3 linked regions of the Arabidopsis thaliana genome follow. The protein of the gene in region 3 binds, or shares a complex with, the protein of the main gene of each other region. Each region holds a gene or a part of one and is shown on either strand. Other genes may lie near its edges. The genes, in order: AT5G13430, AT5G25450 and MPPBETA. A codon is read from its position in the direction of its gene.

Region 1 (3,750 bases), on a different chromosome or scaffold from region 3:
TAGTGATTGATCGGATATGAATTGACCAGCTTTGAGATAATCCTTTTTTGATGAGATAATCGATTTTGACATGTAGTTTATTCATTATTATGGAAATGGATGTTTTATCGTCTTTGGGCACATCATATAAGATACTTGCATCAGTAAACGAATCTGGAATTCCATATCTTTAACCAAAAGGGCTATGTTTGCAATCTTATCTTAGGAGTTTTCTTATGTTTTAAGCATTTATGATCATTGAAGTTCCTTCCTTGGATCTTGCGTTAGATAGATTAGTTTAGTTTTCACTGAATTTGATATCATGGTAGAAAATTGTTTGGATGACACCTTCTGTTATCTCTTGGAATCCGTTTTTATAATCTTATGTTATTCTATGCATTAATGTTAAATGTTTGCTAGTGTTATTCCTTTCTTCTGTGTTATCTCTTGAAAATATTTTTGCTTAATACTTGGTGTTGTTGAACACTTGACCAAGTATAAAGTTTGCCCTTGATGTGAAATATTAATGTTTCATGCTATTTTCAGGTTTTGCTTCTCAAGTCATTACTCAGGGAAATGAGATAGGTTTTGGTTCGGAAGTCCCAGCCACAGTCGAAGCTGTCAAAACACCTAACTCAAAGATTGTCTATGACGACCATAACCATGAGCGTTACCCACCTGGTGACCCTAGCAAGCGGGCATTCGCCTATTTTGTCTTGTCGGGTGGAAGGTTTGTTTATGCCTCTGTTCTCCGCCTGCTTGTTCTGAAGCTTATTGTGAGCATGTCTGCAAGTAAAGATGTCCTTGCCCTTGCATCCCTCGAGGTTGACCTAGGGAGCATAGAACCAGGAACTACCGTGACAGTCAAGTGGCGTGGAAAGCCCGTCTTCATCAGGCGAAGAACAGAAGATGACATCAAGCTGGCCAATAGTGTGGATGTTGGATCCCTGAGGGACCCACAAGAAGACTCGGTTAGAGTCAAGAATCCAGAATGGTTGATCGTGGTTGGAGTATGCACTCATTTGGGGTGCATCCCCTTGCCTAATGCTGGTGATTATGGTGGTTGGTTTTGTCCGTGTCACGGATCACATTACGATATATCTGGAAGAATTAGGAAAGGTCCTGCACCATACAACCTGGAAGTACCGACCTACAGCTTCTTGGAAGAGAATAAATTACTCATTGGTTAATGAATAAAGCACAACAGTCCGAGTGTCATGGTCTGGATGATCTTAAATCTGTTTTTGTTTTTATATTTTCCGGCATTTTAGCGTGCAAGTTCGCTTTCCTCACACTTTGGGCTCAGCAAAAATTGGCTTGTTTTGCTGAATAATACAAACTTGTCATTGTATGACTTAGTATCTGTCTCATCTGGTGAAAATACATTGTTCATACTTCATAGTCTCTGTTTATTATTTGAAAAGAGTTTTGAATAGTATCATCCCTATTTTTCTTATGTTTGTAATTTTGTAACATATCGTTTGTAAGAGAGTTTCCTTTCCTTAAAGTCTGTAGCCATTATCACAATTGAGACAAAAACTTGGTAAGGTTCAAGGTGTGTTATAAAACTTTCGTGTTCTTACTGGAGACGACATTTCGAAGACCTTCAATTCTCAACTAAGCCATAAACCTTCTCTTCCATAGTGAGAAATCCAATTGTGAACCTCGAGACTACTACTTTGATGAAAGATGTCATATTCTGGTTGTGGATCTTAGCCTAATTTTCTTGTTCAGATTGTTTTCATCGATGACTACTTCTTTGATGATGTCCTTCTAGCTCTTTCTTCTAGTATTGAAAAGTTCACACAGATGTAAAACAGTCTTTTTGTTGGAAATCTTGTTTAAACATTACAACAACAAAATATATCCTTTACCAAGTATAGACCCCCTATTATTATTATTAAAAATTACGATTTTTATACAAATAAAATAATTTATCTTACAAATACACACACACAAAAAAATTATATCGTAAAACCAAAAGATTTTATTAATTAAAATTAGAAAAAAAACCATGCCATCAAAATCCTGAAGTAAAAAAATATCAAGTAATACGCAAAAACCAAAAAAAACAAAACAAATTGACCTTTTCTCAAAGACAATTTTTAAGGGACTTACTAGTAAGTAGTCTCTTATGTTTTGTTTTGCATCGGCCGTCCCAAACCTGAGGATTTCTCTGTTCAGCTAGAGCGAAACCCTAGATTCACATTTGAGCTGAGAGATGCTGCGTGTAGCAGGGAGGAGGCTTTTCTCTGTCTCGCAGAGATCTTCGACTGCGACCTCCTTCGTCGTCTCCCGTGACCATACCCTTTCCGATGGTGGCGGCGACTCCTCTTCAGCTCCCAGATCCCTCCCCTCTGCAGATCTCTCATCTTACCACCGTAGCCTTATCAGAGGTTTGCCGATTTATAACCCTTTCCCTCTCTCTCTACATTGATTTTTCATTTTCGGTGGTTCTTTGCAGTTTTATTTGATTGATTGATTTTTGAAAAGGTCTTCTTTTTTTGGTTGTATGATTCACGGGAATGATTGAGATTTCTAGTATTGTATCTGCAATGATCCGTGGGAACAAACGTGTCATCTGATTTGAATTCCATGAGCTTGATGTACCATTTGGCTACATTCTTCTCCTTGCTGGATTTGTATTGCATTTGATGATTACTTCTTTCGTGTGGATTGTTCAGTTCTGAGATAATCCTTTGTTTTACTAGGAAAGTTTCCTCTTTTCGGTGCGTTAATCATAGTATGATTCACCACTGGCTTCTTGGTTTTTGAAATTTGATCTTGTGTATCAATCCTTTTGAGTTCTTCATTGTTAGGGACATGGATGTTTTAACTGTATACTATGTTTGTAGGATTTATAGCTGTTTAAAGGCATGCTGAGGAACTTGCATTCTGAAATTTATGTTTTCTTAACCAAAGAGCTTTGTTTGTTCTTAGCATTGGAAATTTTGTTGTGTTTTAAGCGTTTCTGTAATATACAGCATCTGATCAATATATTTTTTTCTCTTGGTTTATTACGTTGGTTTTAGTATTTAAGGTTTCACTGAATTTGTTATTATTGATTTGTTTGGATGAATTTGGTATACTTGGCTTCTCTGATTCATTCTTTCGTCCAGAAGGAAATGAACATTTGAGTTTATTGATGGATTATGGATTGACCTGTTTAGATGTAATTCTTTGGTTGATGACTAAAGCTCCTTGCTTGTAAATCATTGGAATGCGTTATCCATAGTGTGATTCACATTGGCTTCTAGATTCCAATTTTTTGTTCTTCTGTTTCCATGTTGATCATTGAATTTGTTCTCTTGTTTTTTTTATGGAGATTATCGTATTTAAGTTTCCACTCCCCGAGTTTGATACGATGGTTTGAATTGTTTGGATGGATCTCATACTTCATGGAATCCGTTTTATGTACTTTTGTTTTTCCTTAGAAGATTATACATCAATGGTCACATCTTGATTGTGGTAGTCCTGTGGCTTATTCTTATTCTTGTAGAACACTTGACCAAGTATAAAGTTTGCCTTTGATGTGAAATATTAATGTTTCATGCTATTTTCAGGCTTCTCTTCTCAAGTCCTTGCTCAAGGAAATGAGATAGGTTTTGGTTCAGAAGTCCCAGCCACAGTCGAAGCTGTCAAAACGCCTAACTCAAAGATTGTCTATGATGACCATAACCATGAGCGTTACCCACCTGGTGACCCTAGCAAGCGTGCATTCGCCTATTTTGTCTTGTCGGGTGGGAGGTTTGTTTATGCCTCTGTCCTCCG
Region 2 (3,750 bases), on a different chromosome or scaffold from region 3:
TCTTCAAATCTGGATCGATCATCTCCACAATGTTGTACTTTTTATTTTTTATTTCTCGCTTTGCTGAGATTGTGAGGTCTTTTCCTAAACCAGTTAACATTTTAAGTAGTATAACACCAAAGCTATACACATCGCCCGCCATGTTCGACATCCCTTCATTTGATTAGTGCAATCAATTAAGGTTAGTCTCTTTGAATTTAATGGTCACTTTTAACTTTAAGATATAAGGAAGAAGCAGAAGATTGTTGCCTGAGAGTATGTATTCGGGAGGTGGGTATTGATATCTAGGTGCTACATTTGAAAACCCGATGGTGTATACCAATTCATCGAGAGAAACTTTTGGCTTTCCAAAATAGGAAACTCTTGCGTTGAAGTCCTGCATATCCCATAAATGTCACTTTAAAGGTAAGGAGCAAGTATTCAAGAAAAAAAACAAAAAAGGCAAGGTGAATACAAACCGAGTCGAGCAGGATTTTCGAAGCAGTGAGATATCTGCGGTATAGACCGGCTTGCTTCCTAGAGTGCAAGAAGGCAAGACACTGAGCCGCTCCTATGGATATCTTAAGTCGTGTCTCCCACGGCAATGACTTTGGACGACTATCTATGATATTATATAAACCATTAAATCCAAAAGGAAGATGAATTACTATTGGATCTAAGGTTAAGATCGTAAACTCGTGAGAGCTCCAGAAATCAATTTGAGCAACTCTCTTTATTCCCTCTCTATGATATTAAATTATCTAGGAATCATTTAGCTTGGTGTTCTTCAATTAGTATATTTTCCTCACTTCCACTAAATAAAGCTCTAATGAGCTATCTCAATTTTTAGATCTAGTTTTAAAGCTCTTATTAAGAGCTCTTACCTTTGGGTCTTGCTCGAGCAAGATTCTTCTTGCTTTGAGTCTACTCACAAGATATAATGACGAAAAGGAGATGAATAAACTTAACTTCCTTACCTCTACTGATGTAACTTCCTAAGCTTCCATTTGGAAAGTATTCAGAAACAATAAACAACATATCACGATCATAACAGTAGCCAATTAGCTTCACCAAGCTTGGATGAGAGTTATGTCGTAGAAACTCTACGTCAACCTACAAAAATATCATCTCTAATGTTAAGACACACTGACCCATCTCTAGGGGTAGGCAACATAGACATTTACCATCCAAAAACATCAAAAAATTTAGAAGAATAAATAAGTAACAAGAAACTTAACAATATTATTGGTTTTGCCGAAGGTTCTCCTATAGATTGAGATGATATAATTACTTACAAGCCAATCTTGAAAAGCTTGTTCATTGGCTAAGTAAATTTTCTTGACCGCGACGGCCATGCCAACACCTTTCTTGGCCGGAGATAACGTTTTGGGATTGATGTATCCCAAGCTCTCTCCTAGTTCCATCTGGTTTCCGAAATCATTAGTCGCTTTCTTCAGATCTGCCACCGTGAAGACTTTCACACCCTCCTCCACTATACATATATTATAACAAAACTTATATCCATTATAGTAACATTCAAATCAAAAGTACTTAAATCCGCAGAGAAATATATATATGTATACCTGATTTGGGAGCATTTGGTTCGGTGGGAAGTGTCGAAGCTGAGAGACAATTTCCCATTCGGATACTCTCTGCTAAATCTTAACACTAGAGTTCAATGAAGAAGAGAGGACTTTTAGTTTTTCACACCGAGGAGCAAAGTCAACGAAAACGCGTTTGAGAGTCAACGGTTGACGCGTTTTATTTGGTGAGTCATACGACGCCGTTTTTTGATAAGAGTACATACTACGCCGTTTGGCTAGAGTTTCATACGACGGCGTTTAAACAGATGTCTCTGGATGCTTCTTCCTTCTTCGTTCCCGGGTTAAATTACAAATAGCGGCGAAGGGGTTTCATCACAATTCACATCTTCAACGTTACTCCGAAGAAGATAATGGCGTCGTTTCTCCAGAGACTAGTAGATCCCAGGAAGAATTTCTTAGCTCGTATGCATATGAAGTCTGTTTCTAATCGCCTCCGCAGATACGGTACTCTTTCTTTCTCTCTTACCCTAGAAACCAAACCCTAATTCTCTTCTGGCTGATTTTGGGAATTTTACGATTTTTTAGGTCTTAGATACGACGATCTTTATGATCCTTTGTATGATTTGGATATTAAAGAAGCTCTTAATCGTTTACCGAGAGAGATTGTTGATGCTCGGAACCAGCGTCTTATGCGTGCAATGGATCTTTCTATGAAACATGAATACCTCCCAGATAATCTTCAGGTATGTTTTAGTCTCTAAGTAAGTGACAACAGAGCTAAAACGGTATATAGCTATGGAGTTTGTAGATAGAGCTTGCAAGATTTGACTTAAGACTTGTATTAGGATCAAGAACACTCTGTTTTCAGAAACCTGTTTTGGTTCTGTAATATAATTGTAACTTGATAAGCTTTGTAAGATCTTGTCTATGAAAGAAGTTTTTTTTGAGATAGTGCTTGTTAGTTGTGAGATAGGAAGCTTATGTAAATCTTTTTTTCTTTTCCTTGTCTCTGTAATTCCACAGGCAGTGCAGACTCCATTCAGGAGCTACCTCCAAGACATGTTGGCTCTTGTAAGAACAAAAACAGTTTTATCTATCTTGTAGTGATAGAAGAATCATATAGCAAAGTTCTAACACACGACACTTCATGTGCAGGTGAAGCGGGAGAGAGCTGAGAGAGAGGCTTTGGGAGCTTTACCTCTCTACCAAAGAACCATTCCTTAAGCATGTTAGTCTCTCTTGTGCTTATAGTAGGGTCACTGTTTTAGTACTCTTTAGGCTTCAATACCGCACAATTTGCTTTTGTATGGTTATGCATGGATATGTGAACCTTATGTATAAGATTTTATGAGATTGAATTGGATGTGTAATGTAAGCTTGATTGAGCTATTACAGAAATATGAGTAAAATATCCCACACCGGTAGGAGGAGAGTAAATCATGCTACATAAAGACATAAAGGCACACAAACCCTTAAGCTAGCTTTTGGAAATGTTTTCACAGTTCCTCATAGGAGCTCTGAAGAGAGGCGTGTAACCTCTGAACCACAATCCTTTATAACCCTTAGTTTGTCCTCTCAAATATGGGCTATAGCATTCAAATTATCTAGCACTTGTTGCATGGATGGTCTTTCCTTGGGATCTCTTTCAAGGCAGTTTTATGAGCTTGCACATACGCATCCCCTCTTCAACACGATAGCTATTCTCTAAATCTGGATCGATCATTTCCACAATGTTTTCTTTTCTATTCTCTGTTGCTTCCTCTGCTAAGATGATGCACGGGTTTCCCAAACCAGTTAAGATCTCAAATAGTATAACACCGAAGCTGTATACATCGCCCGCCATGTGTGATCTCCCTGTATATGCGTATTACCGTGCAATCAGTTTTAGGTTAGTGTATGAATTTTAATGGTCATTCTGTAGCTTGAGAGAGGACTTACCTGAGAATATGTATTCAGGAGGTTCGTAGTAAATTCTAAGAAATGCGCTCAATACAATTTTCTAGCTTGCTTACTCCTATAAATGTAACGCTCTAAGCTTCCGTTTGGAAAGTATTCAGAAACAATGAACAACAATTATCATCCGAACCGTAACCAATGAGCTTGACCAAGCTTGGATGCAGGTTATGTCGTAGAAACTCTAGGTCAACCTACAAACCTCGGCTGCCGTGTTAAGCATACATATATGAGTGATCAGTCTCTCTCGTAGAGGTTAATTTCTTACAAATCA
Region 3 (3,750 bases):
TTATCCAGTCCAAAATCATATTATCCATATAAGATTCAGTTTTGTCCTTTTGTCCTTCGAAATTTCTTCTTGTGCATTTGAAAGATGAACTGTTTATCTCCCGCAGACCATGTCGTTATACGAACTACAACACTGTCTACTTTCATGTTAGTATCATGATTCATGAGAGTTTTGGATGGACTACTTCAAAGTCCAATGTACGTTGGGACTGGCTACATCTTCCGCCGAGAGCAACAGAGAGCATCATTGCTAGTTTGGAATAAGAAAGGTCGAGGCTATCTCTAAGGAAACCAAAAGCTAGCTATGATATTGAAGAAAGATGACATCTCTTTGCCTATGAATGGAGAGAATACAACAAAGAATATAATGTGATGAAGATATCTAATCTTTGCTTCTCTTCTCTCAAAGAAATTTCGGTTAAAAGTGAAGCATAAAAGTGAGATTAGTGGCACTAAAGAAGGATGAAATTAGCAATTTAGGGATGAAGAAACCATATCCTATTATCCTTAAATCGGACGAACACAAAAATACGGTTGAAGACATAAGTTTCAATGTCCAAAGCCATCGCCAAAAAGATAAATTTTTGAACATTATGAGCGCAAGTCTTGAGAATGAAATGGTAACAATTCTTAAAAGTAAAGATAAACACTAAAAGCACAATGGCCTCAAAAGTAGAAGAAGAACAAAAAAGAACATTAAGATCTTCAAGGTTCAACTGCAATACGGCCAGCAACCTGGTCCAAATCCCTTTGGCCACTGGAAGTGATCCTTCTTCCTCTGAAAGAAGAACAAAAGTGATACTAGTATTAGCATAAAAACATTTTTAAAGAGAAACACCTCTAACGTAGTAGTAGTAGTAGTAGTAGTAGTAGTAATGTTACCCTTTGGTGTCGAGCTCAACAATGTTCATTGTCTCCAGCTGTTGGAGGATGTGACGGGCAATACCACCACTGCTTTTGCAAAAGTGAGGTGGGCGACTACCGTTCCTCTTGCTTCCACCATAGATTCTACGGAAAGCACCAACACCAAGTCCTCCCCTCAGGTAAACCTTCCTTGCCATAGATGCTGCACAAGAAGTCATTTTGCTAATTGAAAACTTTATAAACGCATAGAGATAATAAGAGACAAACTAGGATGAAAGAGAACTAACCAGCTCTGATGTAGTACCAATCAGGATCATATGGTGCAAGCTCCTTCAACTTTCCGGTCTTCACAATGTCTGTCCATGTGGGAAGCTCGATCTGAAACAAACAATTATGGTCTCGTGAAAACCAAAACAATTGTAAAAAGTGGAGCTTGACATTCAAGCTATTGTAATTGCTAGTGTAAATTAATTCAACAGACGTAACAAAGCAAATCACAATATTAATCCCAAGCATTTGAATCTTAAGCTGTCTATTAACAAATACTAAGAGTAACACTTGTGATTCAATAAATATTAGCAACATATACAAAATTTCAATACATTCAACAGACATTACACAATTCAAAGTATTATAGAGAAATGCCAACAATCAACAGAAATATCTATGAACTAATGGAAATCATTGCAATTTGAGCTTAATCCATCTTTATTCGAGTACATACAAATAAAGCTTGGAACATTTCTACTCAAACAAAAAAGAAGAGACTTTATCCACTAACCTTGCCAGATCGCTTGAGATGAGAAGCATAAGCCTTGACGAAGTCATGAGGCGAGACGTCTTTCACAGTTTTACCAGTTGCCATGGCTCAAGTTATCAAAAGACTAATCACTGATCTTCGTCTGGGATTTTGCCCAACGCAGCTGAATCTCTCTCCGCAAAGACTAGGGTTTTTATTCTCCAATAACAAAACTTATATATACGGCCACGATATTTCGATTAGGGTTTTCTCCCCATATCCGGGTCAAAAAATCCAACCCGTTCTCAGCCCACACTAATGGGCCTAATTCTTCATACGGCCTTACTATCTAACCAGTATGAATAATGTTCTTTGATACGATAATGCGCCTACTACGGCCTTATTATATCAGTTGACTAGTATTATGTCCTAAACGACACCGTTCTTAATTAGTAACATTAAATGACGTCGTTTTATAATCGCTTAACCACTGGCTATTAGTTCGCATCTCAAGTCGTCTCTGCCATTTTTGGCTTTTTAATCAAACCCTAGAGAGATTGAGAGAGCGAAGAGAAGCCATCATCAGCCATGGCGATGAAGAATCTACTGTCCCTAGCTCGCCGATCTCAGAGGCGTTTATTCCTCACTCAAGCCACACGATCTTCCTCTTCGTTTTCAGCTATCGATTCGGTGCCGGCTTCCGCATCTCCGACGGCTCTATCTCCACCGCCGCCGCATCTTATGCCATACGACCACGCGGCTGAGATTATAAAAAATAAGATCAAGAAGCTCGAGAATCCTGATAAGAGGTTCCTTAAATACGCATCTCCACATCCGATCCTCGCTTCCCACAATCACATCTTGTCAGCTCCGGAGACTCGTGTCACTACCTTGCCCAATGGTCTACGAGTCGCTACTGAGTCAAATCTCTCGGCTAAGACCGCCACCGTTGGAGTCTGGATCGACGCTGGATCTCGGTTTGAGTCCGATGAGACCAACGGAACGGCTCATTTTTTGGAGCATATGATATTCAAAGGCACGGATAGGCGTACAGTGAGAGCGTTGGAGGAAGAGATCGAAGATATTGGTGGTCACCTGAACGCGTATACATCGAGGGAACAGACCACTTATTATGCTAAGGTTTTGGATTCCAATGTGAACCAGGCTTTGGATGTCTTGGCTGATATCCTACAGAATTCTAAGTTCGAGGAACAGAGAATTAACCGCGAACGAGATGTCATCCTCAGGGAAATGCAAGAGGTATGTATTTGTTATCTCTGTACTTAAAAAACTAAACTTTTTGTTCTGTCCTCGATTTATCTTTCGTTTTTTTTTAGTGAGGTGGTACTATGGACCGTAGTTTGTGTTTTTTTAGATCAATACCCTTAGTTTCAGTTTCCCGTGTGCCTGCCTAAAAATGAAAACTTTAGTATGTTCTTAAGTTATCTTCCCTTTTTTTAAGGTTGTATTGGCATAAGCACATGTTCTATAGAGAGATGTTATTGTGTTTATATAAACCATTGCTCTAAAAATGAAAACTTTGTTCTGTTTTTGGATTATCTCTCGCATGTTTTGGTTTTATTGGCTTAGTCATATGTTGGTCGTATTGTTGTTGGGAAATGTGCATGAAGGGAGATACTAGAGCGCTTGGTACTCTGCTCTACGTGTTGGTTAGAGTTATTTGTTTCTTTAATCAGTTAAAGATAGAATACACATTAAGCTTTAGTTTTTTGATAATTGGTTTGGTCGTAGGTGGAGGGACAAACCGATGAAGTGGTTCTTGACCATTTACATGCCACTGCATTCCAATACACACCCCTTGGAAGAACTATTTTGGGACCTGCTCAGAACGTCAAATCGATCACCAGAGAGGATCTACAGAACTACATTAAGACTCACTACACTGCTTCCAGGATGGTATAGATTTTGGTTACTTCTTATCATTTCCTACAATCACTTATTGAATTTTTTAGGATTCTTATCTTGGTTCATCCAAAACATTTTCAGGTGATTGCTGCTGCAGGAGCTGTTAAGCATGAGGAAGTTGTTGAGCAAGTGAAGAAGCTATTTACCAAGTTGTCGTCTGATCCAACAACTACTTCTCAACTGGTTGCCAATGAACCTGCTAGTTTTACTGGTTCTGAGGTA

Evidence for each region.
Region 1: the proteins of MPPBETA (region 3) and AT5G13430 are in contact, whole or in part, in a cryo-EM structure (PDB 8BEP), measured with the Arabidopsis thaliana proteins. Residues at the interface, in NP_186858.1 of Arabidopsis thaliana: Asp134, Met222, Gln223, Val225, Glu226, Val232, Asp235, His236, Ala239, Phe242, Gln243, Tyr244, Thr245, Gly248, Arg249, Thr250, Met328, Ile510; in NP_568288.1 of Arabidopsis thaliana: Ala83 (codon at 3,614), Val84 (codon at 3,617), Lys85 (codon at 3,620), Thr86 (codon at 3,623), Pro87 (codon at 3,626), Asn88 (codon at 3,629), Ser89, Lys90, Ile91, Val92.
Region 2: the proteins of MPPBETA (region 3) and AT5G25450 are in contact, whole or in part, in a cryo-EM structure (PDB 8BEP), measured with the Arabidopsis thaliana proteins. Residues at the interface, in NP_186858.1 of Arabidopsis thaliana: Ser45, Pro46, Pro47, Pro48, Pro49, Tyr54, Asp55, Ala57, Ala58, Ile61, Lys62, Ile65, Lys66, Glu69, Pro81, His82, Lys373, His374, Asp378, Gln381, Arg382, Ile385; in NP_197927.1 of Arabidopsis thaliana: Arg34 (codon at 2,114), Leu54 (codon at 2,174), Pro55 (codon at 2,177), Glu57 (codon at 2,183), Ile58 (codon at 2,186), Ala61 (codon at 2,195), Arg65 (codon at 2,207), Ala85 (codon at 2,547), Val86 (codon at 2,550), Gln87 (codon at 2,553), Thr88 (codon at 2,556), Arg91 (codon at 2,565), Ser92 (codon at 2,568), Tyr93 (codon at 2,571), Asp96 (codon at 2,580), Met97 (codon at 2,583), Leu100 (codon at 2,592), Arg103 (codon at 2,685), Arg108 (codon at 2,700), Leu111 (codon at 2,709), Gly112 (codon at 2,712), Ala113 (codon at 2,715), Leu114 (codon at 2,718), Pro115 (codon at 2,721), Leu116 (codon at 2,724).

Annotation. Positions count from the first base shown.
Region 1 is NC_003076.8:4,305,850-4,309,599, reverse strand, and holds the start of AT5G13430 (Ubiquinol-cytochrome C reductase iron-sulfur subunit), read left to right. Parts: upstream 1-2,029; 5' UTR 2,030-2,200; coding exon 2,201-2,375; intron 2,376-3,542; coding exon 3,543-3,750. Other genes in the region: AT5G13440 (Ubiquinol-cytochrome C reductase iron-sulfur subunit), read left to right, coding at 526-1,169. UniProt on the Arabidopsis thaliana protein: Component of the ubiquinol-cytochrome c oxidoreductase, a multisubunit transmembrane complex that is part of the mitochondrial electron transport chain which drives oxidative phosphorylation.
Region 2 is NC_003076.8:8,855,103-8,858,852, forward strand, and holds AT5G25450 (Cytochrome bd ubiquinol oxidase, 14kDa subunit), read left to right. Parts: upstream 1-1,814; 5' UTR 1,815-1,933; coding exon 1,934-2,027; intron 2,028-2,108; coding exon 2,109-2,266; coding exon of another isoform or gene 2,267-2,284; exon of another isoform or gene 2,285-2,546; coding exon 2,547-2,594; intron 2,595-2,678; coding exon 2,679-2,747; 3' UTR 2,748-3,374; downstream 3,375-3,750. Other genes in the region: AT5G25440 (Protein kinase superfamily protein), read right to left, coding at 1-153, 250-376, 459-601, 957-1,092, 1,218-1,471, 1,563-1,620. UniProt on the Arabidopsis thaliana protein: Component of the ubiquinol-cytochrome c oxidoreductase, a multisubunit transmembrane complex that is part of the mitochondrial electron transport chain which drives oxidative phosphorylation.
Region 3 is NC_003074.8:363,434-367,183, forward strand, and holds the start of MPPBETA (Insulinase (Peptidase family M16) protein), read left to right. Parts: upstream 1-2,115; 5' UTR 2,116-2,190; coding exon 2,191-2,862; intron 2,863-3,354; coding exon 3,355-3,519; intron 3,520-3,609; coding exon 3,610-3,747; intron 3,748-3,750. Other genes in the region: AT3G02080 (Ribosomal protein S19e family protein), read right to left, coding at 705-777, 882-1,065, 1,151-1,241, 1,645-1,728. UniProt on the Arabidopsis thaliana protein: Catalytic subunit of the essential mitochondrial processing protease (MPP), which cleaves the mitochondrial sequence off newly imported precursors proteins. Preferentially, cleaves after an arginine at position P2.